4 separate regions of the Mus musculus genome follow, and regions 1, 3 and 4 are each reported to be linked to region 2. The links are microRNA targets in miRTarBase. Many come from high-throughput screens and were not tested one by one. Region 2 holds a microRNA gene; each other region holds the end of a gene's coding sequence.

Region 1 (7,912 bases), not on the chromosome of region 2:
CAGATAGATCTCTGTGAGTTCAAGGCCAGCCTGTCTACAGAGTGAGTTCCCAGACAGCCAGGGTTACATAGAGAAATTTTGTCTTGAAAAACCAAAAACCAAGCCAAAAAAACAAAACAAAACAAAACAAACCAAAAAAAAAAAAAAACAAAAACCCAACCAATCATCATCATCATCAACAACAAAACAACAACAACAACAACAAACCTCACCATTTCCCCTCTGGGGATGTTGAGAAAACTCTGCCTGGTAGGTTATCGCCAGGAAAATAGTCTCTTGAGTTAAGTAGGAAGTGAGGCTGCATGTGTGTTCCTAATAGATGTTTTTCTCCTTCTCTAATTCATCTTCAAGACTAGCTTTGAACTTTTGAACCTCTGAGCTTGTTTCTGCAGCGCTAGAGATGGAACTCGGGCTTCATGCACGCTAGGCAAGTGTCTGTCACGTGAGAGGCATCTCTGGCTCATTCTCTTCGCTTTTGTAGAGAGCTAGGTGCAGTGGGGTTGTATTAAAATAATTCCAACTAGGGCTGCTGATAGGGCTCAGAGGGTAAAGATGCTTGCTGCCAAGTCTGACAGCCTGAGTTTAATGTTTGGGACCCGCGTGATGAAAGGAGAGCACCAACTCCTGGAAGTTGTCCTTTGACCTTCACATGTGTCATGTAATGTGACCATCTCCTCCCCAAAAACTAATTTTTTAAAAATTTAAAATAATTCTAACTAGCATAGCATCAGTTTTGTTCTGTTCTGTTCTAAGTGCTTGGGGGTAAGGACTCATGCTTCTATGCACATTAGGCAAGATAACCAGAAGTCCCCAGGGGGACCACACTCATGCTTTCCTCAAACACACCGTTTTCAGTGGCATAACCATGCCTAGAGTCCTGTCTCCTGTTCACCCTTTAGTGGACTTCTTTTTTTTTTTTCCATGTAAGTCAAACTAGAAAAACATTAGCTGAACGAATGACTGGAAGGAGCTTTAATTCACACGGCTCTCGGCTTGTACCCAGCTTCTTGCCTCACAGACTCCATGCTCCTCAGAGAAACACTCAGGCGCCTCTGGCATCTGAGGCAGTGATGGCCTCAGAGGTGCGGCGCAGAGGCCTGCAGGAGCCTTCTCTCCTCAGCTGCAGGGAGTGTTGGCTCGAGGCTCACTGGCATGGCTCGAGGCTCACTGGCATGGCTCGAGGCTCACTGGCATGGCTCTTTGCTCAGAGATTCTGCTTCTCTCCTAGCAGGCCAGGCCTTGGTGCCAGGACACGGAGTCCCAACCTCCTGCTTTAGTGTGACCAGATTCTGAAGGTCATTTCAGCCCCAGGCTCTGCTACATCTTGTCCTCTTCACTTTCCAAGAGTTCTCTAATTTAAACCTCCCACGAGCATCTTTGTCCCTGGGAACCCCAGCTAAAACATTAGTCTTTTCACTTTCCTGGTTTTTGTTTTTTGTTTTTGAATCTATGTAAGCTGTGTGTGGCTGGAAGCTCACGCTCCCACGGAGTACCCCTCCATCACCAGCAAGAGCTGATTTTCCCCCGAAGCAGGCACAAGGTGCACACCTGTAATCCCAGCCCCGGGTGGGAAGGTGAAGGCAGAAGGATCAGAAGTTTTAGGTCAGCCTTGGAATATAGTTTGAGATTAATCGAAGCTATATGAGACCCCATCTCAAAATTATTATTAAACCTCGATTCATATTCTTTAAAACAGAGTTAGGTCTAGAGTTATTTTATACTTAGCTTTTGTCTTTACCTGTGTGTATATGTGTAGTCACACACATGTGAATACAGGTTCCTGGAGAGTGGAGGGGAGGGTGTCACACCCCTTGGAGCCAGTCACTATGATCTGGGTTTGGGGACCTGCAGAACTTGAGTTCTGCTGCTTGCCAGAGAAGTACATATTTTAACCTCTCAGGCCCATTTTATATTTTGTTTTGTTTGAGATGGAGGTCTCTCTACATAGCTCTGGCTGTCCTAGAACTCACTATGTAGACCAGGTTACCTCTGCCTCCTGGGTGCTGATATTAAAACATGTACATGATCATGGCCAGCCCCAGTTAATATTTCTTTAAGCCGCACTTATATTTCTTTAAGATAGTAAGACTGGGGGCTGGAGAGTTGAGAACACTGTTCCCTCTTCCAGAGGACCTGACTTCAGCTCCAAGCACCCAATTCAGTCTGGTTATGATCATACATAACTCTTAGTTCCAGGAGATCTGACACCTCTAGCCTCCACAGGCTTCTGCACTCACATGCACAAATCCACATGCACGCACGCACGCACACGTGCGTGCGCACACACAATGAATTTTAAAAAGACTATAAAAGATAGAACCACATCACATTGTGTATTACATCTTATAAACAATTTAAAAATATTTTTATTTTTTATTTTATGTGCATTGGTGTTTTGCCTCCATGTATGTCTGTGTGAGGGTGTCGGGTCACTGGGAACTAGAGTTACAGTTGCCAGCTGCCATGTAGGTGCAGGAATTGAACCTGGGTCCTCTGGGAGAACAGCCAGTGCTCTTAATCGCTGAGCCATCTCTCCAGCCCCCTAGACAATACTCTAATAAACTCATCATTTGTTGAACAGGGTCTCACACATCAGTCTAGCCTCAATCCTGCTATGAAGCTCAGATTGACCTTGAACTTCTGATCTTCAAGCTGCTACCCCCACCCCCAAGTTCGGGGAATTACTTGGGTTAGGCAGTGCTGGGGATAGAACTCAGGGCTTCATACACACTAAGCAAGCATTCAGCTAACAGAACCACACCCACATCCCTAGCGTTCTTTTTTACATTAACAGAGCAGCATGGGAATCTCCAGGTATCCTTGGGATACCTGACAAAGACAGGCACAGTCTGTGTGGACATTGCCGCCCATACTCCACAGACTCCGCACAGAATTATCAATCCTCACTCATTCTGTTTCATCTGGTTTTCTTGGAGATTGAACCTCAGGCCTTGTACATACTGGACAAATTTCATACCACTGAGCTATAGCCTCAGGCCTTCACAATTCCAACTCAAGGTACACATATAATGCAGGTCAATGAGACCGTTTAGTAGAAAAAAAGGTGCTTGCTGCCACAACCCAAGTTCAAGTCCCAGAGAATCAACTCCCCAAATTATTCTCTGACTTCCATGTATGTCATAGCATGTAAATGTATGCAATCACAGGTGCACACCCAAGTGCACGAACACACACACACACACACACAGGTTACAATTTGACTCTCAAATGTCTCCCACAGTTTTGTTTTTTGTTTTTATTTCCCCCAGCTCATAGGGCTATTTTGAAGCATGTGGAACCTTTAGGAGGTGGAACCTGATTGGCACAAGTAGGTCACTAGAAACAGTCATTTTAACATTATGCCTGCCCACCCACTCCCTGCCAGGCTTAGTTAGCCAAGTGTTTCCTGTCTGCCACCATGTTTTGTTAAGGTGTCGCCTTAAGGTATTGGAATGAAATCATGCTGTAACACAAACCCGTAAGTTATTCTTCACCTGTTTTATCACAGCAGTGCAAAAACAACCATCACAATAAAACTTGAATCTGTCCTGAGCCAATAGGATGATGGATAATTTAGGGATTTGATAAAATAAGGAAAAAAATATATAATGTGTTCCAGACTAGCCAAGGCTACACAGTGAGACCCTGTCTCAGAAAAGTCATATCCTTGCCAATACTTGATATTGTCAACCATCCAGATTTCGGCCATTCTAATAGACACATAACTATGTCACTATGATTTTAATTCCTAGTGCCTGTTAATGTACTAGCAACTTCTCACACTATATCTGTCATTTGCATATCTTTAAAAATTTGTAGCCAGGTATGGTGGTGCACGCCTTTAATCCCAGCACTCAGGAGACAGAGGCAGGCGGATTTCTGAGTTCGAGACCAGCCTGGTGTACAAAGTGAGTTCCAGGACAGCCAGGGCTGCACAGACAAACCCTGTCTCAAAAAAAAAAAAAAAAAAAAAATGTGGCTGGAGAGATGGCTCAGCAGTTGAGAGCACTTAGTGCTTTTGCCAAGACCCTTAGTGACATTTCTGGCACCCACATGTTGGCTGACAACCATCTGTAATACAACAGAGATGCAAGTGGCACACAAAAACGCATGAAGGCAAAACACTCATACAAATAAATATAAGATCTAAAAGAGAAAACTTAAGCTAGGTCGTGGTGGCGCATGCCTTTAATCCCAGCACTTGGGAGGCAGAGGCAGGCAGAGATCTCTGTAAGTTTGAGGTCACCCTGGTCTGCAGAGTGAGGTTCAGGACAGAAAAAGCTACACAAAGAAACCCTGTTTCAAAAGACCAAAAAATAAAAAATTCAAAACTGTGATTGTGTGTGCATGAAGCACGAACTTGCAGAATTTGGTTCTCTCGTTCCATCCTGTGGGTTCCAAAACTGGCAACCCTGACAGCTTCCATGTATCTTTTTTGATGAAGCATCTGTTCAAATATTACTTTTAAAGTTGGGTTGAGGGACTGGAGAGATGGCTGAGTGGTTAAGAAACACTGTTCCAGATGACCGAGGTTCAATTTCCAGCACCCATACGGCGGCTCACAACCCTTTGTAAGAGAGGAGTTCTAAGGTATCCGACAACCTTTATGGGGTCTCTGTGGGCACCAGGCATGCAAGTAGTAAGCTGACACACAAAGCAGCAAGGCACCAATAAACAGGAAATCACTTCTCTGTAGTTGAGTTGCTTGTTTTACGATTCCTTTATTATGCATCTGTGTGTCACTGTTGGTTTGAGTCTATACATGTAAATGCAGTGCCCTTAGAGGCCAGTAGAGTGCACAGGATCCCCTGGAAATGGAGTGACAGCTTCGAGTTACCTGAAAGGGTGCTGGGAACTGAACTCAGGTCCTAGCAGCAGGAGTTCTTAACCTCTGAGCCATCTCAGCCCCTGCTTGCTTTCGAATATTTGAAGTCCTTTATATAGTCTGATAACTCTTTTTTCATACCTGGTAACATATGTTTTATAGAATCATCATATATATGACAGATATTTCATCTATAATTGTTCACTAATCGTTATGTAAATGTTTTTAACTTTGATAAAATCCAATTGTTATTATTACTATTATTTATTTGGAACACTAGAGATCAAATTATGTAAAGCACTGGGGAGGCAGAGGCAAGTGGATCTTAGAGTTCAAGGCTAGGACTGCACAGGGAGACCCTATCTCAAAAGAGAGGTGGGGAGGGGGGAGGGAGGGAGAAAGGGAGAGAGAGAGAGAGAGATCTATAGCATTTCACAGCAGTCTACAAAGACCACAAGCCATCTGACAGAGGGCCACTACAGTGACCCAGAGTGACTTTGATATTTCATCTATCTAATGTCTTTACATGGGGCTAGAGAGATGGCTCAGTGCTTTGGAGCACTGGCTGTTCTTCTAGGAAACTCATGACCATCTATAACTCCAGTCCCAGGGGATCCAATTCCCTCTCCTGACCTCTGCAGGCACGGCACTGCATACACACCTGGTGCATAGACATTTAAGCAGGCAAAACACCCATACATACAAAACAAAAAGGGGAACGTTGTCTTTGTAAGAATGCAGAGAAATACACTACATAATTATTTGTTAGCCGCAAAAATAACCACGGGACTTTGGGAAACAATGGCTGCTTTTAGACGAGAGCTGGAAGAAAAATGTTAATTTTTTACCAACTTAATATTTTGGGGATTAAACATCAATTTAATGTAGCATTTTATATTTAGCTATGTATGTCCCATGAGATGAAAAGTCACCAATTTGGTAAGGTGCTTCATTGGCAAACAGCTTTGGAAGACCAAAAGACCTACCAAAGGGAAAGAGAGGAGCGTCCTGCCTCCCCAGGCCTTCAGTTGCCCATGTCAGTGAAAGGCATGTCTATCTCCTCTGTAGCCCTCAGCCTGTCGCTCATTTGCAACGTGCGCTTCAGAGAGAAACATGTGCATGTCCAGGACCGTTGCCAGGTATGTATTTAAAGTGGGAAGGAGCAGAGATGGGTTTATCCTGGAAGCTTTACTGCTTCTGGGTTGGCGCATCACAGTACGGCACATTTTCTGTGAGAAGATCTTTCCTGGGGACCAGTTCTAAAAGGAACAGAGAAATGAGCGGTTAAGACGGTTAGAGCTCCAGTCACTACTTATCTTAAAGTAGACCTGGGGCCGGCACATCCGTCTCCCCAGCAGTTCTAACCGTGAGTTGTGTAATTTGGGAAGCATGCACTATTCTACAGACATTTTATTTCAGCTGATGTCTGAGGTGACTATGTGAGTCTAAATGGAAACATTTAATACGATCTTCATTCGTGTTACAAAAAACATATACAACCAAATCCTTTATCATTTCATTAAACACAACTAATAAATGACTGAATGGAATTAAGCTAAAAACACACTAATCTGTCAATGGCTCTTTAAAAATGTCACCTATGAATGATTTTTGAGACAGGATCTCATGTAGCTCTGGCTAGCCTTGAACTCCCCATGTAGCTGAGGCTAACCTTGAACTCTTGATTCTCTAGCCTCCACTTCCCAACAATGGGGTTACAGGTGTACCACACCATGCCTGGATACTTGAAAAATTTTATAGAAAGCAAGACATCACTCTCATAATTCAGACATTCCAAATTTATAGAATGATTCCCCTCCCCTCCCACAACTGCCCTTCTCCTTCCCTCCCTTCCTTCTTGTTCCTGGGCCTTGGGAACCCAGGGCCTCACAGGCTGCAGAGTGTATACTCTACCACTGAGCTACACCCTGTCCCCTAGAACAATGGCTCCTCACCGAAGGAGTCTTCAGATATACCACTTAGGGGATGCTACCAAAAATTTACTGGGCAGGAGCCAAGGATGCTAACTGTGGTGTGAAAGACAGTCTGGGGCAGAGAGGGTTATACTTCATGGCAGAGTGACAGCAGTGTCTCCACTGAGACACACAGTGACAGTGGTGTCCCCACTGAGACACACTGCTGAACAGCCAACTGCTGACTGCTAGGCAAGACAGCGTTGGGGCCTCAGAGATTACTCATCGGTTAAAGTGCTTACTACAGGAAGAGTTCAGATCCCCTAGGAAGATGAGCCTTGTCAGGGAACTGAGTGCCGAACCAAGAAACCCTGCTTCAATGAAACAAAAAAGAAGGCGGGCAATTCCCACTATTAGGTTCAGGGGTGCACATGCACCCATACACACAGAAAAATGGAAAAGGAAAAAAAAAGAGAGAAAGAGAAAACTGCCCACATCTGCTGACGTGTGCCTATAATCCCAGGAATCATGGGCAAAGGCAGTGAGACCTGCACTCAAGTCCAGCCTGCAGTACATAGCGTGGCCATGGCTGGTCTGCACTGTGGTGAGACCCTGTCTTAAAGGCCCTGGGTCTAATACTCAATACTGAAAAACAATTAAAAAGAAAAAAGGCAGTGAGATACATCACCCACCCCCCTTTCTTGGGAAGAGCAGGACCCAGCTAGGCCATCCTCACAGCCTCAATGTGATGGCTCACATTTGTAATCTTAACAGTTTGCAGGATAAGACAAGAGGATCGCCGTCACTGTGAACAGAGTTTGAGCTATACAATGAGTTCCAGACAAGCCTAGTTAAACCTGTCTCAACAAAAGCAGGGTTGGAGATGTGCCTGGATTAGTAAAGTGCCTGCCTCCATGCACAAGGCCCTGTGCTCACTCAGCCCAGCTGCTGTGGTGGGACATACTTCTAATCCTGGCACTCAGGGTAGAGAAAAGAGAATCAGAAGTCAGCTACCCAGGGAGTTTAAGCCAGCCTGGGCTATATGAAATTCTGTGTCAAACAAGAGAGCAAATGCCCCCCTAACCACTCTTCCCAGAGCCTGCCTACAATCTTTAGAGGTAGTGATGAAAGATAAGTAACTGCTCCAGACTCAGGAAACTCAGCAGCACCCTGG
Region 2 (7,912 bases):
GTGAAGAAAATCATTCATCAAAACAAACGAGTAATCTACAACGATGTGGTTATTACTATAGTGCATATGCCTCTGCTTAACTTGTATTGTACGATTTATAAATTGCCAGTTAAATAATAATTAATGCAAGACTCAAGAAGTCATATGTTCCTCTAGTATAAACCAATGAGATCGATAGAAATAAGTCAAGTGGACTCTCCCTGTCTGCATGCACGTGCCAGATGACAGGCGCAGCTGTCTGAAACCTGGCCATCCAACACAGAAGATAAGTGGATAATCCTAGTTAGGAAAGCATGTGTCATGTTTCAGCCTCTGCTGCTTTGTCACACTCCCCAGAACAGGCATTCCTAGGCTCAAGCCATCTTCCATGGTCACCAGCCCACTTACGAGCTGACTAAATGTGTCATGGTAGACCTTAGCGAGAAGAATGACTGATAGTGGTCATGTGAATTAGATGCTTCGTATTATTTAGCAGAGAGGAGCAAGGGGCAGATCGATGGCTGTGCAGGGAAGACCTGGATACTTAGAATCAGAGGTTGGAAAGAAGAGCAGGGTTCCCTTAAGCTGGCCTGTTACTTCCACAGCTATCTCCCTCAACACAGAGAAATAAGCATCATAAAATGAATGTGAAATGTGATTGTATTAGGCCAAATGTGACCAATGAAACAAATTAAATTATCACGAATTAGACCGTTGAATTGGCCATGCCTGTAAAAGCAAGATTCATCTCTGAAGGAGACTTGGCATATGAGCTTTTTCTTTGTTTGAGAGGAGCTTCTGGCTTATTTCAGTCCTTGGGAAAGATAATAGAGATTTCTGTGGTTATCAGTGAAGAAGTGATTCCATGATCAGCCAATAGAAACGTGAATGCAGGAAAGCAGAGCCATACCAGATCAATGGGGGAGACGGTGGCTGTAAGAGAGGACACAAGTCCCTTTCTCAGAGGGCCATCCTGCACCAGAATTGTACTCCATCATAATTATTTCATATTTTAATTCTCTGAATATCAATAAAACAATAAAGGAGTATCTAAATGAGGGATGGATCCTCCCAGGGAAACAAGGTCCACATGAGTCTTGGTTAGGTTGAAGTAGTTCATGTTGTAAGTCATGATTGTCAAAGCAAATCCTTATAATATTGAAGACATGGAATCTATGATTCATCAAATATATATCATCAAATATATATGGAAATTGGAGGGTAATTAACATACATTTTAACATTGGTGATCTCTGAGTTCACCATATGAATAATTAAAGACTGGATGTGGCTGACACAGAAAAGAACGAGATGAAGCAATTATATTATATCATTTAAGTACTGATTTGTGAATATGAGATAAACAGATATTGGAGGTCAAGGACATTGAGTACTTTACTGACAAGTTATAGATACAGCCCAACACATACAGGCTATAGTTTGTGAATCTTTGGTTCATGGACATGTGTTTACATAAAGTTATCACAGGAAATTGAGTTGTTTGAATTGAAGTTAGGTGGCTAAAATGAGGTTCCAAAGGTAAATAAGAATGGTAGCAAATGCTAGAGAAGTCACTTGATAGTAATACTCCTCAAAATAAAGTTAGTGCAGAACGTCTGGCTGGAATGGGGTATCCTAGATGACTTGATAATCTCCTTGTATTGGAGGGAACGTAACCCCACGCCCTTAGAGAGAAAGCCAGGTTTTCCTTTCAAATGTAGGAATCGTGGGACAATCTTGAGAGCAAGTCTTTAGATTTTTACTTCTTTCTCTGCCTTCTACCATCCATGGAGAAGACCCAAGTGATCTCAAAGGTTTGCAGTGACGGACAGTTCCTGGGATGCCATAGCAACAATTCAGAGCTCATGGTGACTTGACATCTTCGGCTTTGATCCTTCGGTTGGAACCTGCTGATAGGTACAGAGAATCTATTCTAAACACCAAAATCTGGGTGCTTAGGCAGAGTATGTCGAAAAAGAAATAATCTAGTTAGCTCAAGGACTAGGCAGTGAGGTGCCCCAGCACAGGATAGTCTCCTACCATGTAGTCTTCCGAGTGTACCCAGTAGCCAAGGACTGAGCCATTCCTGAAGCCTCAAGAGAGGAGCCTAGCTCAGGACCGATGATGAGATCTGATGGTGTCTGAGTGTTTCTCGATGACATGAACAGATATCTGAGGTCAGGCAAAGAACATCTACAACTGGGCTGCCTTTTGGTGTTTGCCCATGGCCTAAGACACACAACATACTTTTCAACACTGCTCTGACTGCAACTTATTTCCATTAGGCCAGGAAACGTGGCTGGCAGATAGGCAAACTTGGAGCAGAAGGGGTGCCCCCATGCCTGTGCCTACAGGCAGAGCAGCACAGCTTAAATACTCCATGGGGTATGTGGAGCGATGGCCGATAATTTTCTGGCTCCATGAATGATGACTTAGTATAGACAGAGGCCAGCTTATTTTTCTTGGGAAATGGCAAGAAATTACTCTCTCTTGGGAAGAGAAAATACAATTATAGCCTAGGCAAAACTTATGAGCCTAGGTTCTGTAACTGTGGAGGGCACGGAATGGTATCCCACAGAGTCTCAAAGATATCTCTCCTTTCTCTCCCCTGTTCTCTTCAGAAAAGCTGACTTAACTGATGGCACAAGTGTACTCTGAACCAGAACCCACTTCGGTCTTCACCGTGACAGCCTGAGCCCTGCTGACTGAGAGGCGGCATTTTGATCTTCCTCACTTAAGGTATGAGCTTGTAGGTATGTGTAGTGGTGAGAGTGTTTCTGCCTTAGTGCAGTAGCAGAAGACTCTTAGGCCATTAGTACAATAGTTGGTTGTAATTTTTGGCTTCTAGTGGCTGCTCTTCAGGGGCTGCCACACAGAATGTTCTAATACCCTGTGATCAGAGCTCTGCCCTCAGCACCCACTAAGCAATTAAGGTGTGCAGTTGGCTAGGGAGAGAGGGGGCCCCATCCAGGACCAATGATGAGATCTGGTGGCGTTTGAGTGATACTCCATGAACGCCAAGTATCCAGAAATCTGAGGTCAATCCCGATGCCTTGCTAAGAGCTAAGCTCTGGATGGAGGCCCATAGGTCTACGCCCGTCCCTTGTGGACCTGTGCTTCGAGGCAAGGGCTTGAGTGCTCTTTGATCATGTTCCTCAGAATCAAGGCTGGGGCAGCTTGAGGTCTGTCCATGGAACTGGGTCAGAGGGGCCCTGAAAATCTACTTGGATGAGCTGGAATTCCACAACCACTCCCTTAGAGATAAAGCTGACAAGACAGTGCCCTTGAAATGTAGGAATCCTGGGTCAAACTTGGGAGCATGTCTCAATAGTTCTATTTTTTCTCTACCTTCCAACATCCAGAGAGCTGACCCAAGTGATATGAGAAGTTTGCTGTGATGGACAGTTTCTGGGTGCTTTGCCAACAATCCAGAGTACATGGTGACATGTCAACTCCAGCTGTGATCCTCCTGTGTGGCACTGACTTACAGGTATGGAGGGTCTCTTCATAAAATGGGTGTCAGGCAGACTATGGAGAGAAAGTGTTAATTTCATGCTAGCTTGCGGACCAGGCAGTGTCAAGCCCCCCCACAGCACAGGATAGCCTCCTACAGTGTGGTCTCTTGAGTGTACCACAGTAGCCAAGGAATGAGCCATTCCTGAAGCCTCAAGAGAGAGGAGCCCAACCCAGGACCTATGATGAGATCTGGTGGCATCTGACTGTATCTCGATGACAGCCATGAGAACAGATGTCTGAGGTCAGGCACAGAGCAACTTCAGCTGTGTGCCTTGTGGTGCTAACTAATAGCCTGAGATCGAGGAAAGCGGGATCATTTGTGTCACCTTTGCTCCTTAAACTGATCAGTTTCCATTAGGCAAGGACTTCCAGAGAAGCAACGTCGGGTTATAGTTGGTAGGACCATGACCTAGGGCTTGGTGGGGAGCAGCATGGCTTGGGAGATCTAAGAGGCATGTTGATAGATTGGGGAGATGATAGGCTGACCCCATGGAGGACTCCTTAGCCTCTTCTTGGTCCAATCCTTTTTTCTGGCCCCTGGTGAGAAATTAGTCTCTCCTGGGAAAAAAGTTTCAGTGCAAAGTAGGCCCAGCTCATGACCATTGGCTCCGTAAATGGGGAGGACATGGGGTGGTGGCCCACAGAGTCTCAACACTGACTCTCTCCTCTCTGCCCTGTACCCTGCAGAAATGGCGACCCAACAGATGGTACCAGCATGCTGAGATATAGAACCACCCTTGTATCACCACTGTGACATCTCAGAGCTTTGCCGACCAAGAGGCAACATCTTGATCTTCCTTGCCCACCAGCTTGCAGGTACGTTTAGTGGCAGGAAACTGTGTCTTCCTTACAGCAGTACCAGGAGAGAGTTAGCGCATTAGTGCAATAGTTAGTCCTGATTTCTGGGTTTTTCTAATGGCTGCTCTTCAGGGGCTGCCACACAGAATGTTCTAGTACCCTGTGATCAGAGCTCTGCCCTCAGCACCCACTAAGCAATTAAGGTGTGCAGTTGGCTAGGGAGAGAGGGAGCCCCATCCAGGACCGATGATGAGATCTGGTGGCGTTTGAGTGATACTCCATGAACGCCAAGTATCCAGAAATCTGATGCCTTGCTAAGAGCTAAGCTCTGGATGGAGGCCCATAGGTCTATGCCCGTCCCTTGTGGACCTGTGGTGTGAGGTGAGGGCTTGATTGCTCTTTGATCATGTAGCTTGAAATATTCCCATGGAATTTCGTCAGAGGAGCCTTAAGGCCACACCCACTTTTTTTTTTTTTTTTTTTTTGAGAGAAAGCCTACAAGATAGCATGCTTGAAATGCAGCAATTTTGGGACAATGTAGGGACAGCGTCTCAATTTTCCTTTCCTTTTTCTGCCTTCTTCCCTCCAGGAAGGTGACTCTAGTGATGGTAGAGTTATGGATAATGGACAATTCCTGGGATGCCATGGCAACAGTCCACAGCCCATGGTGACTTGTCAACTCCAGCTCTGTTCCTTCTGTGCGCACCTGCTTATAGGTATGGAGATTTAATCAAAGCATCGGTGATCAAGCAGATATGGGTAGAAAGTGTTAACTTAGTGCTAGCTTGTGGATCACACAGTGTGATGCCACACTTACCAAGAATGAGTCAATTCTGAGAGAGGGGAACCCAGAACAATGATGAGATCTGGTGGCATCTGAATTTTTCTTGATGGCATCCATGTCAAGAGAAATCTGAAGTCAGGTACAGAGCCACTTGAGCTGAACTGCCCTCCATTGTAAGTTCCATTAGCAAGGAAACATGGCTGACAGGTAGTCGAAGTTGGTTTAAATTGTGCAGAACCACAACCTTGCATGGGGACCTCACAAAGGGCATGTTGAGAAATAGGTGTACTGAGATGCTGACCCTAAGCAGCATGCCAGAGCATAGAGGGGACCCAGCTCTTTTTTCCTTCAAGTGGAAAGAAATTAGTCTTTTCTGGGAAGAAAATGTACAGGTACAGCTCAGGCAAAGCCCATCAGCCTGAGTGACGTCACCGTGGAGAACATGGCATGGTGACCCACAGTCTCAACACTCTCTGTCCCTTTTCTCCCCTGTTTTCCTCAGAAAGGCTGACCTGGTGATGGTGAACCACCACCCCAAGTCTGCATGTCACAAATCAGCATCTCTCTCTCCTATGGAGTCTGGTTCTAGGTCTTGACAGGTATTCGTTATCAAATCAGTCAAGTGAACTATCATTGATAAGATTCATTAAGTTCATTAAAAGGGGGCAGTACACCCAGTTTCATAGAGTGAATCTCTGCTTGTGTGTCCTGTGAATTGTCTTTTTTTTTTTTTTAATGGCTTACTAACAGGTCTTTCTCATTTTCCACAGAGGCTGATTGACTGATGTCATTGCAAAAGTTTCCTGTCATAGAGAGTTCCTCTGATGTCCCTTCAGCACCACTACAACTGGTATTCACTTTAGTTTCACATTTCGGGCAGATCATGGTAAAACCCCATGGTCATATCACATAGTTCTTGTGCACGTGGCATGTGTAAGATCAATCATACAGCAATAGCTTTTAACTTCAAAATTGAAACCAAGCACAGTCCAGCTGCCACAGAGGTTTTCAATTTCTTTTCTATTTCGTATTAACCTTATAGTCTCCATTTTTTCCTCAGAAAATTTATGTTATATATGTTAAAATCATTTTTAGCATATCACAACCTATGCATATTAGAGTTTGTTTCCATATTGTGATTCATATTTATAATTGTTAGGTTCTTCTAAACTTGAAGCCACAATCACATATTACTGTACTTGGCTTGGATTGTCCATGATAATGACATTGAGAAAGTCTGTCACGTGTCCAGGGTCGTGTGCCACTCACTAATCTTTTACAGCATACATTCTATGAGTAGTGAGTGACCCTCAAACATTAAAACAGAAACTTCATATGAGTCAACACAGCTGCCCCTGGGAAAAGGTGGAAGGAAAATAATATGGTTGACCACCACATTAGTTATAAGTCCCTACCACCCTGTCCTGAGTCGGGTCTGTGTGGAGCAACTCCTTACTCTTTATTCTTTTATTAATGATAATGCAAACATTACATCCTATAGCCGAAGTTTACGTTCTGGAGTACATAAGGAATCATTCATATTATTTAGTCATGAGTTAGATATATGGCTCTGTAAGTCAAAGCTGAAAGCTGTTGCTCTTTTATCTGCTTTTAAAAGTCATTTAACAAATGCTTTGTTTTGTTTTGTTTGTTGTTCCCCACATCGCGCCTCTGAGAGCTGACTGCAGGATTTCCTATGTTTAATGACTGCCTCAAGGTAAACATGGGTAAAAGCCATACATTTTGTCGATGTTTTGGTTATTATGGCTGTAACTTTACAAAGCATGAAATAGAATCCTACAGGTCTACTCTTACTTTGTCTTTTGGGGTGAAGATGGGCTTGTGTCCTGAGTAAATACGATGTCTGAAGATGGTTCATAGCACTTTCTTCATAGCGCTGTGAATACTACAGTCTGAATATATCAGAGAGCTGTGCTCCTGTTGAATATTTGTGTATCACCAGCATTGCTAGTGAATTATTGGCTTAGCCAGTAAATAGTATCTATGAGAACGAGGAAAGGTCAAGCCATTTCTGGACCAATGATGATAGTTACCAAGGTATGAGAGAGATGACGAATAACACTTGTCTGAAGCTCAGAGGTCCAACCCAAAAGATAGGTAGATAATCAAAGGTCCTTGAAGGACAATGGCATTTTTTTTTTCTTTTGTGCTCTGTTTTGTACTCCTCAGAATGTGTGCTCCTAGGCTGATGTCTGCATTTTCTATGATCAGCAGTGGAACATTTGCACCTCTGCATTGAACATGGGGCAGTGTGAGTACTAGTTACTTACTATCCCTGCTTTTTATGCAGTCTGTTGAAATTTGGTTACTTCATTATTTAAAAATATCTAAGAGAGCTGGTAAGGTAGAGAGAGAGAGAACAGATTCCTAGATATTAAGCCCTTGTCTCCATGCACATGCCCTTGGCATGCATGTTCATAAACACAAGTGAATATATTCATTGAAAATAAGTTTTAACTATGGTTGTATTAATTCAGCCAAATACAACCAGTGATGCCTATGGATTTTAGTTGAAATAGGACAATGAGTTGGCTATGTTTGATGCTCTTCGGCTCCTCATTGAAGGAGAGAGACACTTGGAGGTAAACTGGATCTTTAGAGGAGTGTCTTTCAGTGTGTTTCAGTACTGGGAGGAATAAATAGACTTTTCATTTTTATTAGTGAATTAATGATTCAATCTAAACATAAAAGTGAATAGAGCCAGGGTGGATTCATGTTGAGCGCAGGTAGTATGAGTCCAGGGTGCTGTGCATGTGCCTGCCTCTGGGTCTCTCCTTCAGCAGATCTTCCCTCTGGTTTCACCAAAAACATACT
Region 3 (7,912 bases), not on the chromosome of region 2:
CAGTGTTTGGTTGAGATTTCCTAAGACCCAGAAAAGAAAAGATACTTGGAAATTCTGCCTACATTCTTTCATTCTCATAATTCTCTTAATAAAAACTGAAGTGTTTATGCTCACTGGTCTAAGTGGGAGAAGCACGTGACCAGAACAGATTTCATTTTCAAGTAGACACGATCAAAGAGAAAGAGTCATTTGTTCGAGGTCACAACACCACTAGGGATAAGGCCAGAGCTTGTGCCCAAAGCTTCTGGTTCTCATCCAAGACCCTTCCTGACTCCTCACCCCCCACCACCCCCCACTGCCCCCCACCGTCCCTCACCGCCCCAGACCGCCAGGAAGATTTTGCTGCAGTTTCTGTTTTGAGAAGGGTTTGTAGCTCAGACCATCTCTCCAACTCTCACTCTCTCCTGCCTCAGTTTCCCACACGCTGCGGTTACAGGCATGCGCCACTCTACCCAGCTCAAGGCAGAAACTTTGATAGTCACTTGATGTGCAGAGGGGCAGGTCTGACTCTGCTTGGCTCCCAGATGGGAAGAGTATAAGCACAAATGTGGAGGATGGAGGCAGAAGAGGAGCAGGATAATGACACACTCGTGCACACGTGCACACGTGCTCACACACACATGCACACATATGCATGCACACACATGGGTATGTGCACACACATACACACACGGGCATACTCACACATGCGCACGCGCACAGGCACCCTCATGCACACATACATACACACACGTGCGCTCACACACATATGCACACATGGGTGCACGCACGCACGCGCGCGCGCGCACACACACAGACATTCGCACACAGGCACACACTCAGAGTCTACTTTTGAACCAAATCCCTAAGAAGACCCCAGTCTTAGACAAGGTGGAATCCCCCCGAGCACTTATTAATTCAGCTGTAGGGATAAGGTTGGGCCATTGCTAGGCCAACCACTCAGGGAAATTGCAAGCTGCCAGTGGTCACCGCACCACCACCAATAAGCTTTGGCTGCAGCAGAGACACCATCAAGAGGCCTTGTGTGCCTCAGTTTCCGTCCCTCCGCACTGAATCATCATGTCACAAGCCATTCCATCCAATTACCTGCCCTCATAGTCACGGGCACTGAGGCCCACAGAGGACAGAGAGCATGGCAGAGCCCACAGGTATTACACAGAAAGCCAACTCTCAACTGACTACCTGACATTCACACACATACATTATCTCCTGCCTACTGACAAGCCTTCCAGCAGAACCAGGAGCCAGCTCCTCCCAAGAGGCATGAGACACTCAAGTTTTCAAGAAAGCAGATTCAAGTTCAAACTCGGATTGCTAAACTTCCAGGCAATGTGACCTGGAAAAGTCTAAGCCTTCTGGAATCATCATCCCAGTACTTCGTGTTACAAACTAAAGGTTAGCCCGAAGCGCTGGACATGGGTGTGCCCACGTATGGAAAAGCAGACTCAATAGCTAGGGCCGGAGGCGTCAGACATGGTGGTGCAAGCCGGTTACCCTAGGACTTAGAAGGTGGAGGCAGAAAGAGCAATGTAGTGAGTTCAAAGCCAGCCTAGTCTACAAATTCAGACATCCAGGCTAGCCATGGCTACATATCTAAACCCTAGCAAAGAAAGAAGTGGGGAAATGGAGGAAAAGCCAAGTCCAAAACCTGCAAAGTGGGGAGGGAAGGGGATGGGCAGAGGAGGAGGGACCCCTGCCAGACCAGCCCCACAGCCTGTGCTTTCTCTCTTCTCCCCGGATCTCTACAGGCTATGGTCATGCGGCGCCCAGCACGGACGGAGGCAAGGTGTTCTGCATGTTCTACGCGCTGCTGGGCATCCCGCTCACACTAGTCATGTTCCAGAGCCTGGGTGAACGCATCAACACCTTCGTGAGGTACCTGCTGCACCGTGCCAAGAGGGGGCTGGGCATGCGGCACGCCGAGGTGTCCATGGCCAACATGGTGCTCATCGGTTTCGTGTCGTGCATCAGCACGCTGTGCATCGGCGCAGCTGCCTTCTCCTACTACGAGCGCTGGACTTTCTTCCAGGCCTATTACTACTGCTTCATCACCCTCACCACCATCGGCTTCGGCGACTATGTGGCGCTGCAGAAGGACCAGGCGCTGCAGACGCAGCCGCAGTATGTGGCCTTCAGCTTCGTGTACATCCTCACGGGCCTCACGGTCATCGGCGCCTTCCTCAACCTCGTGGTGCTGCGATTCATGACCATGAACGCCGAGGACGAGAAGCGTGATGCGGAGCACCGCGCCCTGCTCACGCACAACGGCCAGGCTGTCGGCCTGGGTGGCCTGAGCTGCCTGAGCGGTAGCCTGGGCGACGGCGTGCGTCCCCGCGACCCAGTCACATGCGCTGCGGCCGCGGGAGGCGTGGGCGTGGGCGTCGGTGGCAGCGGCTTCCGCAACGTCTATGCCGAGGTGCTGCACTTCCAGTCCATGTGCTCGTGCCTCTGGTACAAGAGCCGCGAGAAGCTGCAGTACTCCATCCCCATGATCATCCCGCGGGACCTCTCCACGTCCGACACCTGCGTGGAGCACAGCCACTCGTCGCCGGGAGGCGGCGGCCGCTACAGCGACACGCCCTCACACCCCTGCCTGTGCAGCGGGACGCAGCGCTCGGCCATCAGCTCGGTGTCCACGGGCCTGCACAGCCTGGCTGCCTTCCGCGGCCTCATGAAGCGCAGGAGCTCGGTGTGAACCACAGCCAGACCTGGAGCACCTGTGAGCCAGAGGGGTAGGGGACCTGCCTGCAGAAGCCGCAGGAGTTGGCCAGAAGGCCCCCCAAAGACGCCTTCGGGCCCCATGGGAAGTCCCCAGCCCATCACCACCACCACCACCTCTACTCTTCCCCAGCCCCTAAATCTCCAACTGTGCAGGCTATCACTAGCCAGCAGGAGGCGGGGCTCTGAGGACCCCTGGAGCCCCCATCGGAGCCGAAGAATTCCGAGAAATGTGAAACTTAGGGGGTGGGGAGCCCGGAAAGCAGCCACGGGGAGCTGCTGAGAAGCCCCCAGTCCTCAGAGGCCCTACGGGGGCCCCAGACCCCTCACCTCCGGAGGGAACTAATGTTCTCGGGTTTTGTTTTCTGTTTTCTGTTTTGGTTTGGTTCTCTCTCTCTCTCTCTCTCTCTCTCTCTCTCTCTCTCTCTCCCTCCCTCCCTCCCTCCTTCTCTCTCTCTCTTCTACTTACACCTCCTCTGGGTTCTCCAAAGCCCAAGGTGTTTTTGTCCAGGTCACCCCCACTCAGTCCCACCTGGCTTTCATCCCCAGCCATGTCTCCCAGCCTTCCACTACCTTACGTGTCCACTCCCTTCTGTTTTTTGCATGGCTATGCAGTTATGGAAGAAAAAAAAAAAAAAGGAAACCCCAGCAGCCCCTAAAGCTAGTCCCCAGAGGGCAAGATAAAAAAGAAAGAAAGAAAAAAAAAAAAAAGAAGAAGAAAAAAAAAGGGCAGGCCACAGATGTTAGAGCAGAGTGTGTGCAGAAACTGTGGCTTCCACCTCTGCGGGGTGGACATCTGTAGGTGAGCCACCTGGAGTCTGGGAACATTCTCAGGGGCTCCTGAGAGACTCCAGCCTTCAGGACTGCCCTTGGAATCTAAAACATGGACTCCCCTTTGCTGTCCCTGGCTGCAGCTGCTCATTCACTCGTCCATAGGTTGTTTTTTTTTGTTTGTTTGTTTTTTTGTTTTTTGTTTTTTTGTCCCAGAAACCCTGTGCCACCTCCGTATTCATTTGAGTGTAATAACACTCTAGTTAAGTCACCTGGGCAGTTCTTATGGCCATTTTTCAGAAGAGGAAAACAGGTAAAAAAAAAAAAATTTTTTTTTTTACTTGCCCGGGGTGTCTTGAAGGGGAACAGCCTGCCGGCTTGTTCCCAGCCCAAGTGCTCTTTCTTCAGGCTCAGCCTGCCCTCAGAAGCGAAGCCCCTGCAGGCAACACCCCAGCTTTGTGTAGGCAGCTGGGGTTTAAACCAGAATCAAAAGCCCCAGCCTGAGCCACTGCCAGGGCTCTGCCTCTGGTACTCTTTAGCCCAGAGACTGAGGCTCTAAATGGACCCTTGTCTCTGTTCACAAGCAGGGAAGTCCTTGGGACCAAGGTAAGAAGGACTGAGTCTCATGGACTACAAGCCAGCAGTTGGCACTCTTGAGAGTTCAGGGACTGGGCAGAGCAGCCCAGACAGCTGACAGGTATATCCTGGGACGTTTTCCCTGGCCTAGAAGCCAGGATAAATGCATCCTAAGTTGCTAGAGTAACTTCCACTGCAGCCAGGAACACCCCTCTGGAGGGAAGGAGGTATTGGGCCTGCTATGCCTTCTACCTCCTCTACCTGCAACCCAGTGGAGGGTGGCTTGCTACTGGGGACAAGCTGGAGGTGGAAACCAGGACAACAGAAGGGTATGTGTGGGGCTATGGGTATAGCCCCAAGTTTTATTCCCAGTACCATGAAAAGGGAAACCTTTCCCCTGCAGAGCTGCCTTCTGCTCACTGTTCCCAGGCCTAGCTCCATACTGCTGAGTAAGGCCAATGTGACCATTTGGGGAGGTAGAGAGAGAGCCCCACCATGTCCTCCAGGTCCTGGGAAATCCTTAGGTGGAAGGAATCTGGCCTGTGTGTATCCCATGTCCGTGTGGAGGAGCTGGCCCCTGTGTCAAGGGGGAATGGAACCCAGCAGCTGGAGAGGTGCTGTCTGTGTTTATGTTGGGCTGGAGGCAGTGCTGGCTGCCTCTGTCCTGTGTGTGACCCTGCCCTCGAGGGGTCAAGTCCCGTCAGATCCGAGGGAGCCACAACCAAAGTTACAGAGAGGGTGGGGAAGGCAGCAGAGTGGCCCTAGGGTCTAAGCATGGGGGACTGCTGGTCTCCTGTAGGGTCTTTGCCTAGGGAACTAGAAGGCCACTGTCACTTCCTGTCTCACCCCCTCCCATGCAGGCAGCCTTTCTGCTTCCCCAATGCCTTATGCCTGGGCACACTGCCACAGAATATGCAATATGTGTGGGTGACATCCCCACACCCACCCGGGCAGCCCCTAAGTCCCCAGGCTGTGGCTGCCCTGGCCCCCTTTTCAGCAGCTCCTGCCCATCTGTCTTCACACTGAGAATGGCGCCTAATAAATGCTGTCCATGGAGACCAGGCTCTGGTTCCCGCTCCTCTGTCATTAGTCATTCACCCTGTCACCCTGTCACCCTGTCCCACCACTCACCTAGTGCGTTCCCCTGGGGCTTCTCAGACTGCTTTGGGTGCAGGTTTCTTGTGTAGAAACCTGGGAGTGAAGCCTGGCTTCACTTAGGATTTTCTCAAAAGATCCAGAGCTCAGAAGATTCCGTCTTCCTGGAACAGACTGTGAGAACAGGACCTTAGAAATGACTGGGCCCTTTCCTCCCTCTGTACACAAGTAAACGAGGCCAACGAGGGCAAGTAACTTGCCCTGAGTCACACAGCCATGAATGGCAACCTAGGTAGGATAAGAAGCAAAGCTGGTGACTCCCCACTTTGTCTCCTCAGCTGACTGCAGAGTCAAACAGGACATGCCCCAGCCTCCAGGGGTGACCTCAGCTCCTCCCTGACCCCAGTAGCCTGATGGACACAACACACACACACACACTAATATCACTTTCAAAGATGGGCACATCACAAATACCTTTTCTTAGGGTGTGCTACTCATGGTCTAGAGTAGCACATGCTTGGGGATGGACCCTAGAGCCCAAGACAGATATATAGAAAGCAGATGCACTGTGCCCAGTTGGTACCAACACCTGACTCAACTAGCCAAGGGTATCCAGGCTTCCCTAAGCATGAACCATAGTAATACCTTTGGCACCAAAATCTGTCTGCACGCCATGACTCACAACCACCCTACCACATTCAGGGTGTGCATATCCGTTCTATTCCTTGTTTTAAATGCCACCTGGGACCTATTTGGTTGATTCCCTTTACTCACAGATAAAGACATGCTAGAGAAACAAGGACCTGGGCTAGAGACACATTCCCTTAATCTTTCCTTCTATCTACTTAGACCAACTAGAGAGATAGGACATATTTGTGGAGAGGTTCTGGGTTCAAAGAAAACCTGTGCCCTTTCCAGGACACACCAGCCTCCCTGGGATGAATCTCTAGGCATCCCTTGAAGTAACAGCAGGCAGGTTCTATGGCATGTTTCTTGGTAATCTACTGGCCTCTGTTTGGGCACAGTAAAAACCTGGCTCATCCACTCCTAAGACTACTTCGTCTTAATCAAAGCCCAAAGGTTTGCTGCTCAGCTCTATGAGATACAGCGTCAGCAGAGGTGAGTCCTTCTGGAGGTCAGTGGTGTCCAGCACATGGTCACTTGGACTTTCCTAAGCAGTGCTTTGCGGGACACAAACATGGCTCTTGCCCTACTTTCAACATCGCCCTGGACAAAGTATCACAAACAGATGTTGCAGGGATTCCTAGAGGGGGCCTGCACCCCAGTCCCACCCAGAGCTACCCAGAGCTCAGCACTAACACAGGATCTTCGTGTCCAGACACTGTCAGTGCCCCCCCCACATGCCCCCAACCTCCTCACCTCTGAGGCTGCCTGAACTGAAAGACACAGGAAAATGGACGTTGAAAGCCTGCAGAGGAGAGGGAACGGGAGCAAATGTCTGAAGTTCCCACCAGCACTGGGATTTGGGTGAGAGTCAATGGGAATAAGCTTCCTGGGAGCCAAGAGAAAAGAGGGATGCAATGGCAGCTCCTCTCTAAGCAAGCCAGTGGCCGCTCATAGGGGAGGTGCTAAGTTGGGCTTGGTGACTCATGCCTGCAATCTCCAATTCAGAAGGCTAAGGCAGGGAGATTGGCATGAGTTTGAGGCCAGCCTGCATATAGCCTGTCTCAAAACACCAAGAAGGAAGAGAAGGGTAGTCCTTGCTCTAATGAATTTGGAAGAAGGATGCACACATCACCACTGTCTGAACTCCACAAAACTCTAAGCTTAGTAAAAGTTTTTAGAAGACCTGCAGCGAAACCACTGCTCGTTTTGAGTAACACTCAAACTCATTCCATACCAGATCCTCTGTTGGCCTGATACTTCCCAGACTTCCCAGGGCACACTTGGGGACCTCCTCGGCTGTCACAATATCACTGATAGGGAAGTAGGTCTTATCCTTCCCTCTTATCCCCAACTAGGGTCTGTGGATGTAGCTCAGTTGGTAGAGTACTTGCCTAGCATGCACAAAGCCAATGCTTGATCTCTAGCACTGCCTAAAGGCGTCACATGCCTATAATCCCAGCACTTGGGAGATAAAGGTAGAAGGATCAGAAGTTCAAGGTCATCCTGGGCTACATAGCAAGTTCAAGGTCATCCTGGGTTACATAAAGTTCTCAATAAATGAATGAATTAATAAACAAACAGGTAAATATAAACTTTAATAATTGGTAAGTCATCTGTAACTGGCAGCTCTAACAACATGAAATACACACTAGCAAAGCTCATTATGTACCAAAAAAAAAAAAGGTTCAGAGCAGCCAGCCCACTGGTCTAACAGCAGGCAGGGAGTTGATAGCAAAGCTGAACATGGAACCAGGGCTAATGTTGGTGGATGAAGCTCGTGCCCTCACTCATCATATTGCTCACTGCCTGGCAGTGGTCACTGTCATTAGAAAAGGTCTGGCCATTGAAGAGTATGAGACCAAGGCTCCCTCTCCTCCACAGCCTAACAAGCCCAGCCTTGGGTGGACTCAGTGTCCCCCTGTGGCTGAAGCAACTGCCCTCCAGCTTCTCCCCCCACCCTTGCCAAAGGACATCGAGAAATAGACGTATGTGAAGCAGGTGCCCAGATCGGAGGACCAGCGCCCACCTTTCAGAGAAAAGGAACTGGATTCACAGAAAAGAAATGATAGATCCAAGCTCATGAAACAAGATACTGGCACAGCCAGGGTTAGTAGCCACAGAACCT
Region 4 (7,912 bases), not on the chromosome of region 2:
ACTCCAGTTTCCTGGAACCGACAGCCCCGCTCCGACCTCCTATGACACCAGGCATACTGTAGAGAAAACACTTATACACAAAAAGTAAAATAAATCTATTTTCTTATTATTTCTGAGGGGCTGGAGAGGTTGCTCAATAGTTACATAACGCTGGCTGCCCAGTCTGGAGAATCCACATTAGGAACCCTCCCACATTCAGTGGCTCACACCTGCCTATAATTCTAGCTCTCGGGTATCTAACATCCTCTTCTGGCCTCCAGAGGTTCACACAGACGTCCACACAGACACACAGACAGCCTCGTGCACACACACTAATAAAAAACAGTTTTTTTAAATTACTAATAAAAAAACTTTCTATGAGATATTATTTTAGTTGGTGTCTTATTTAGAATGGAAATGCATTTTGAAATCATAGTATCAGCTTGGTTATTCTGGTCTAACATTCAATCTCTGAGATATGTAGTAGTTGATTAAAAAAGAAAAAAAAAAACTGCTTGTTTTCCTTGGCCTTCCAAAGAATTTCTCTCTCGAAGAGTGTTAACACAGGCTTGAGTCCTCCAGTTTCTTGGAAGTCTATGGAACAAGAGGGTAACCAATCATGATCACAGCCTTTTTGTGAATAAGAATGTTCTAATACATGGTTTTGGCCAGCACCTTGTTCATGTAAGACAGTTAACTCCGAAAATGAGAGCTTTGAATACCCCCAATGGATTTCGGAAGATTATACTGACCATAAGATTAGGATACTTCCACGATCATCTTTATTGTCAATCATTTCTCCAGTTTTGAAATATTTCCTATACTTATTTATTTGCAGGTGTATATGTTTATGTGAATGTATCTCACACGTTTGCAAATGCATGGAGACCAGAAGGGGACTCTGGATTCCCTGGAGCTGGGGTTACAGATGGTGCGGAGAACTGAACTCATGTCCTCCAGAAGGGCAGCAAGCACTCTTTACCACTGAGCCATCGCTTCAGCCCCTTTACTTTCAATCTTTCTCGGGATGGAAGGCATTGCAGGGAGGAACCGCTGGCTCGAACTTACCTGTACGTTATAATCCCCTTCACAGTGCCCCTCAGCCCACACTGGTGCAGTTAAGCCTTTGCCAAGGAGACTCAAACATTTGTCATACAAAACCATATCTGATGATCAGTGAGATGCCGTGTAGTCAAACTGCCTGCCTTCCAATCACGGCCTCCATGAGGCTTAAATAAAAGTGAATGAAAACCACTTAAAAGAAGGCAGGCACGAGCGAATTCTATAACTGCTACTAACTAACAAGTTTTGTTGTTGTTGTTTTGTTTGTTTTTGAGACGGGGTCTCCCTTTGTGCCTCTAACTGGCCTGGAACTCACTATGTAGACCACCATGCGAGAAAGCTAACAGCTTTCAAAATATCCCTTCCACACAAACCCACTTCACAAGTATTCTTTTGTTTGTTTTGGTTTGGGGGTTTGTTTTTTTAGGCACTGTAGCCTAGGCTGGCCTCCAACTAACCACCAACAGCTGTTCTCCTGTTTCTGCCGCCTGAGTCCCGGCATCACAACTATCACACCCAATTCTTTGACGTCTACGTAGCTACCTTCTCACAAGAAGGAAAAAACACAGCAGAGAGGAATGCACATCTGCCCCTTGAAGTTATCTTCTTTCTTGTGTCTCTGTCTTCAGAATCTTACTATACAGAGACTAGGAGCCATGTCTTGTTCCTGTCTAGCCCTGGTACCCACCTCCCAGCGAAGCTGACTGGCAGTCCGTTTGGGCACCATCCCTGAGAGACTAGCTGTCACTTACAGGAGGACACGGAGAGACCCACTCATCACACCCCGCCCCCACACCCGCTGACATGTCTCAATCTTTAATCCTGGAATCTTCCACCCGTGACGTGATTATCCCAGGTCTGCGCACGGCGCATGCGGACGACTGCGTCGTGCGTCCGCCAGGGGGTGGCAGTGTGCGCCCTGCGTCAGAGCGCATGCCCCGCTCCGTGACCGTGACCGTGGCCGTGACTGAGGGCTGCGCGGAGGCAGCGGAGCAGCGGGAGCAATGGGGGAGGAGGCGACGGCGGTGGCAGCGGCTGGGGTGCGGCCCGAGCTGGTGCGGGAGGCGGAGGTCAGCCTGCTGGAGTGCAAGGTGTGCTTCGAGAGGTTCGGCCACTGGCAGCAGCGGCGCCCGCGCAACCTGCCCTGCGGCCACGTGGTCTGCTTGGCCTGTGTCGCCGCTCTCGCGCACCCGCGGACGCTGGGCCTCGAGTGTCCCTTCTGCCGGCGGGCCTGCCGAGCCTGTGACACCAGCGATTGCCTGCCGGTGCTGCACCTCCTGGAGCTCCTGGGCTCCACCCTCCACGCGTCCCCGGCTGCCCTCAGCGCCGCCCCCTTCGCGCCGGGGACTCTCACCTGCTACCACGCCTTCGGCGGGTGGGGGACCCTAGTGAACCCCACAGGGCTTGCACTGTGCCCCAAGACCGGACGGGTAGTGGTCGTGCACGACGGGAAGAGACGGGTCAAGATCTTTGACTCCGGAGGAGGAGGTGCACACCAGTTTGGAGAAAAGGGGGACGCAGCGCACGACGTGAAGTACCCACTGGATGTCGCCGTCACCAACGACTGCCATGTGGTTGTCACCGACGCTGGCGACTGCTCCCTCAAAGTGTTTGATTTCTTTGGCCAGATCAAGCTGGTTGTGGGAAAGCAGTTTTCCCTGCCTTGGGGTGTGGAGATCACCCCTCACAATGGGGTCCTGGTGACTGATGCAGAGGCAGGGACTTTGCACCTGCTGGAAGCGGATTTCCCTGAAGGGGTCCTTCGGAGGATTGAGAGGTTGCAAGCTCACCTATGCAGTCCCCGTGGGTTGGCAGTGTCATGGCTCACGGGGGCCATCGCGGTCCTAGAGCATCCTTGTGCCTTTGGGAGGACTGGCTGTAACAACACAAGGGTGAAGGTGTTCAACTCCACTATGCAGCTGATTGGCCAGGTGGATAGCTTCGGGCTGAACCTCCTCTTCCCCTCCAAAGTAACTGCCTCTGCTGTGACCTTCGATCACCAAGGAAACGTGATTGTTGCTGACACCTCTGGTCCAGCCATCGTCTGCTTGGGGAAACCCGAAGAATTCCCAGCCCTGAAGCCTATAATCACTCACGGCCTCTCCCGTCCTGTGGCACTGGCCTTCACCAAGGAGAATTCTCTTCTTGTGCTGGATACTGCATCCCATTCTATAAAAGTCTTTAAAGTGATGGAGGGCAACGGAGGGTGATGGGGATCCTGAAGCCAGGAGTCAGAAATCTTGGTGTCATTGGGAGTGAATTGGTCTCACCCATCCATCCAGACAGAAGTAATGGTAACTGAATGGCAAAAGCAGTTACTAAGGCAGTTTTAAAAGACTAATAATTAAATTTGTCATTCGGTGAATGCCTGTTCCCGTGTTAAGAAATTTGCAGATCTTAGCCTGTTTGCTTCTTAACACACAGCGATGTTAATTCCTATTATCCGTCCACTTGGGAGATGAGAAGACAGACCCAGAGCATTCAGTATGGTTTCTTTAGAGTTGTATTCACTGGGACAGTTGAATTCAGTTCTGGCTCCAAACCACTTGCTCTTAGATATGATGTTAGATGTCGTCAACAACAACAAAAACTGTGAGCTGTGTCTTATGTATGTATGTTCTCCTTACAAGTGGGTAACTGGTAAAGTGCACAAAGACAAGAAAGGGGTCTTCATGGGGATTTTAGGAGAAAAGGGAAGTTGTCCATCACCTTCAGCTGTGAGCTCCCCCAAAGGTAGAGTAGATAGCTTATTACCAGTTCCAAGATTTGAACAAGAAACAAAGTTGAGCTCTTTCCTTATAAGGCAAAGGCTGCCAGGATGATAGTGTGTGCCAGAACTCCAAATCCTGAGAAGTGGAGGCAGGAAGTTCAATGCAATCTGCAGCTTAGCTACCTAGTAATTTTGAGGCTAAGCTGGACTAGTGTGTTCTCTCTCTCTCCCTCTCTTTCTCTCCCTCTCTCCCCCTCTTTCTTCTTCCTCTATGGGCACTGGGAACTATCCCGCAGTGATAATTTGAGAAAAATCTGCAGAGCCACTGCCTGCTAGCGTCATGGGCATATGAGACTCGTGTTAATTAGATCTTGCCCCAGCACATTGATGGCAGAAGTGATTTTGTTTGGTGTGGTAAATCTCTGACGCCTGAAGCACTTTGTGATGGAGGCTTTTCTCTGTGTAATTTGAAATGTGATTCAAACACTGTACTTAATAAACAGTCTTCGTCCTTTTAGAGTGCTGGAAACGTGTCTTGAATGGAAGCACAGCCTTGACAATGTAAGGGCTCCTCAGTGCTGTAATTGAGGGGAGGAGTGGAGAATATTTGGGGTGAAATGCTGATCCTCTCTATTTTTTTTTAAGCAAGCACAAAAATCTTTGAGTTCAGGGATGTTGGAATTATACCAAATAACTTACACCTCTGGGGCAGCATGAAAATGTTTTCTGGGGATGCTTTTGAGAGGTGAGAGTTTGCTTTAGATAAGAACTAATGTTGTGTCAACAAAATGATATCCTTTTATACAAAGAGGCTGTTTGGGGACAAGGTCTTGTACATCTTGGACCGACCTTGAACATGCTCTGAAGCTAAGCCTGACCTTCACTTCTGATCCTCCTGCATCCATCTCCCAAGTGCAGAATTAAAGTCAAGTACCACAACACCAAGGGTTCTGTGGTGCTGGAGGTAGGTAGAACCCAGGGCGTCATACATGCTAAGTAAGTGTTCTACCAACTGAGTTACAGCTAGCTCTACAAAGATTTATTTTATTTTTTATTTATTTATTTATTTATAGACAGGGTTTCTCTGTGTAGCCCTGGCTGTCCTGGACTCACTTGTAGACCAGGCTGCCCTTGAAAATTCAAGAGATCCGCCTGCCTTCTGCCTCTCCTGCCTCCTCTGCCTCCTGCTTCCTCTGCCTTCTGCCTCTGTAGCACTGAGATTGAAGGCACACACCACACTCAGCCCCTATGGTTTTAATAGAGACACTCACTGAAGTATGACTGAAAGTGTCTTCCAAAGGATACGAATGCTGACATCAGGAGCCCAAGGTGAAGGCCTAGCTGCCATGCCATCCCATTAAAGCCTGTGTTTCTTTTTAAATTATTACATACATTTATTATTTATTGTATGTATGTTCACACATGTGCCTGTGTGCATGTACACATGCCATCATGTGTCGAGGTCAGAGGACAGCTTGAGTGACACGCCTGTTCTCGTCTGCTACCATCTGGGTCTAGGGTACTTAACTCACATCATCAGGCTCTGTGGCAAGCATCTTCACTCCCGAAACATCTCCTCCCCTGCCCACACTGTTGCTTTAACTGATTCCATCCCAGAACATCAATAGTAACATTTTGGGCACTGCTCAACACCACTGGTCCTCTAACAGGAAGCCCAGTGGTTGAATTCTTCTCCCTCATCCCGATGCCCTCGGCTGGGCATTGTAGCACACACCTAAATCCTAGCACTATGAGACCAACCTACATAGTTAGAGCCTGCCTCAAAAAAAAAAAAAAAAAGTCAGATAAATTATCACCATAGACCAGTAACTTTACAGCTATTTTAAATATGTAACAGCAAAACTTAGATAGCAACTGTGGATTGATCTTACAGTGTTTTATTTCAGAACCATTACATTTGGATAATGTTAGTGTCTGTTGACCCAATTCAAAGATTTGAGGGGGGCAGGGCCTGCACGCTTGCGCGAAGGACTGGGCAGCGGTTGCCGCGCCCCTCCCCCGCGCGGCACTCAGTGCCAGGCGGGAGGCGGCAGCGGATGGATGGAGGCTTCTCGGGGCTTTGCAGCAGGGACTTCGGTGGCGCCTCAGGCACCCGGGCTCTGACACGATGCGGCGAGTGGTGCGGCAGAGCAAGTTCCGGCATGTCTTTGGACAGGCGGTGAAGAATGATCAGTGCTATGATGACATCCGCGTCTCCCGAGTCACCTGGGACAGTTCCTTTTGCGCCATCAACCCCAGATTCGTGGCCATCATCATAGAAGCAAGTAGGGGAGGGGCCTTCCTGATGCTCCCTCTGCACAAGACGGGACAAATTGACAAATCCTACCCTACAGTGTGTGGCCACACAGGACCAGTGCTGGACATAGACTGGTGTCCACATAACGATCAGGTTATCGCCAGCGGCTCAGAGGCCTGCATTGTTATGGTTTGGCAGATCCCAGAAAATGGACTGACCCTTTCCCTGACTGAGCCTGTGGTGATTCTAGAAGGCCACTCAAAAAGAGTTGGCATCGTGGCCTGGCACCCGACGGCCCACATTGTGCTTCTCAGTGCAGGCTGTGATAATGTCATTATCATCTGGAACGTGGGGACAGGGGAAGCCCTCATCAACTTGGATGATATGCATTCAGACATGATTTACAACGAGAGCTGGAGCTGTAACGGTAGTCTCATCTGCACAGCATCCAAAGACAAGAAAATGAGAGTCATTGACCCCAGGAAACAGGAGATGGCGGTGGAGAAGGAGAAAGCACACGAAGGAGCCAGGCCTATGCGTGCCATCTTCCTGGCGGACGGCAACGTATTCACTACTGGCTTTAGCCGCATGAGCGAGCGGCAGTTGACGCTCTGGAACCCAAAAAAACATGCAGAAACCAATGCTCTCCATGAAATGGACACTAGCAATGGAGTGCTGCTCTCCTTCTACGACCCAGACACCAGCATCATCTACTTATGTGGGAAGGGTGACAGCAGTGTCCGCGGATGAATTCCCATATGTCCACTACCTCCACACATTCAGCGGCAAGGAGCCTCAGTGAGGGATGGGCTACATGCCCAAGCGGGGCCTTGACGTCAACAAGTGTGAGATTGCCAGATTCTTCAAGCTTCATGAGAGATAGTACGAGCCCATTATCATGACGGTCCCCAGGAAGTCTGACCTCTTCCAAGACGACCTGTACCCTGACACAGCGGGGCCGGAAGTTGCCCTTGAGGCCGAGGAGTGGTTTGAGGGGGAAGAATGCAGACAGACCCCATCCTCATATCGTTGAAGCACGGGTACATTCCAGGCAAGAACGGGGATTTCAAGGTGGTCAAGAAGAACATTCTGGACGGCAAGCTGGCTGCAAACAAGAAGAGCAATCTCAACTGTGCCCCCAAGAAGCCCACAGACATGGCCAGTGTGCAAAACGAAGCCAAGGTGGATGAGATTCTGAAAGAGATCAAATCCATAAAGGAAACAACCTGCAGTCAAGACGAGTGCATTTCCAAGTTGGAGCAGCAGCTGGCGAAGATGGCTGCCCGAGGCTCGCCCACCTCCACGGAAGGTGGCTGCTCCTCCTGGGCGCACTCCCAGCCAGGGAGGGCAGAGAGGGAGACACTGCCATTTGGAGACATTCCATGTCAGATCTGTCAGGCAGTGATAGGTCACATTCCAGTAAGAACTCTCCCAGACCTGAAAGCTGAGCTTTTCCTCAGGGAGCTTTGATGTTTGGCAGGTCTGCTGACTTGCTGAGCTTTCCTACATTTGAAATGCCAGATATTCTGAATTTTAGAGACCAAGCCCCTCCCCCGCCCCTCCCCGACTCCCGATTCCCCACCCACCCACCCAGCGTCCTACTCACACACCTGATGACCGGGCCAGGGCCACCTCTGCTCTATGTCTCATCCTTTTTAATGTTGCCAAAACCGAAAGTAGCTTTTTTTTTCTTTGTATTTTTCTACTTTGCAGTATTTGTGTGGTTTTTCTGTCTTTCTTTCTTTTCTCTCCTCAATTTAAAAGGGGCAGCACTGTGCATGTTTATAAACTAAATGAAGATGAGATGATTATTTTGTATAAACACTCACGAGAACAATCAGTGCAGCCGCCTGCACAGGGCTGGCTCACTCATAGCACAAACCTGGGCGTTAGTCTAACGACTG

What was found. Region 2 holds the annotated microRNA mmu-miR-882 (AGGAGAGAGUUAGCGCAUUAGU, at 4,356-4,377, shown strand). A microRNA usually pairs through its seed, bases 2 to 8, with sites in the 3' UTR of a target mRNA and lowers its output. Matches are read on the target gene's strand: a 7mer-m8 pairs with bases 2 to 8, a 7mer-A1 pairs with bases 2 to 7 and ends in A, and an 8mer does both.
Region 1: miRTarBase lists Lyrm7 as a target of mmu-miR-882. Seed matches in the 3' UTR shown: 7mer-m8 at 5,228-5,234, 8mer at 4,485-4,492 and 8mer at 3,981-3,988.
Region 3: miRTarBase lists Kcnk3 as a target of mmu-miR-882. Seed matches in the 3' UTR shown: 7mer-m8 at 3,142-3,148.
Region 4: miRTarBase lists Nhlrc1 as a target of mmu-miR-882. Seed matches in the 3' UTR shown: 7mer-m8 at 3,975-3,981, 7mer-m8 at 3,989-3,995 and 7mer-m8 at 3,997-4,003.

What each region holds. Positions count from the first base shown.
Region 1 is chr11:54,835,119-54,843,030 of GRCm38, forward strand. Lyrm7 (LYR motif containing 7) reads right to left here. Exons shown (of 5, transcript NM_029327.5): 5 at 3,232-6,084. The coding sequence ends at 6,014. Among named protein-coding and RNA genes, the nearest start is that of Lyrm7os, 19 kb to the left of the region's middle.
Region 2 is chr12:109,677,852-109,685,763 of GRCm38, forward strand. Mir882 (microRNA 882) reads left to right here and starts at 4,346; the gene lies at 4,346-4,422. It overlaps AF357341 (a small nucleolar RNA gene), which reads left to right and starts at 3,668; the gene lies at 3,668-3,742. It overlaps Gm22981 (a small nucleolar RNA gene), which reads left to right and starts at 4,533; the gene lies at 4,533-4,606. It overlaps Gm25856 (a small nucleolar RNA gene), which reads left to right and starts at 5,143; the gene lies at 5,143-5,217. It also overlaps AF357428, Gm23736 and Gm23787.
Region 3 is chr5:30,620,143-30,628,054 of GRCm38, forward strand. Kcnk3 (potassium channel, subfamily K, member 3) reads left to right here. Exons shown (of 2, transcript NM_010608.2): 2 at 1,749-5,128. The coding sequence ends at 2,695. Among named protein-coding and RNA genes, the nearest start is that of Mir5625, 24 kb to the right of the region's middle.
Region 4 is chr13:47,008,913-47,016,824 of GRCm38, reverse strand. Nhlrc1 (NHL repeat containing 1) reads left to right here and starts at 1,975. Exons shown (of 1, transcript NM_175340.4): 1 at 1,975-4,268. The coding sequence starts at 2,046. The coding sequence ends at 3,251. It also overlaps the pseudogene Gm5790.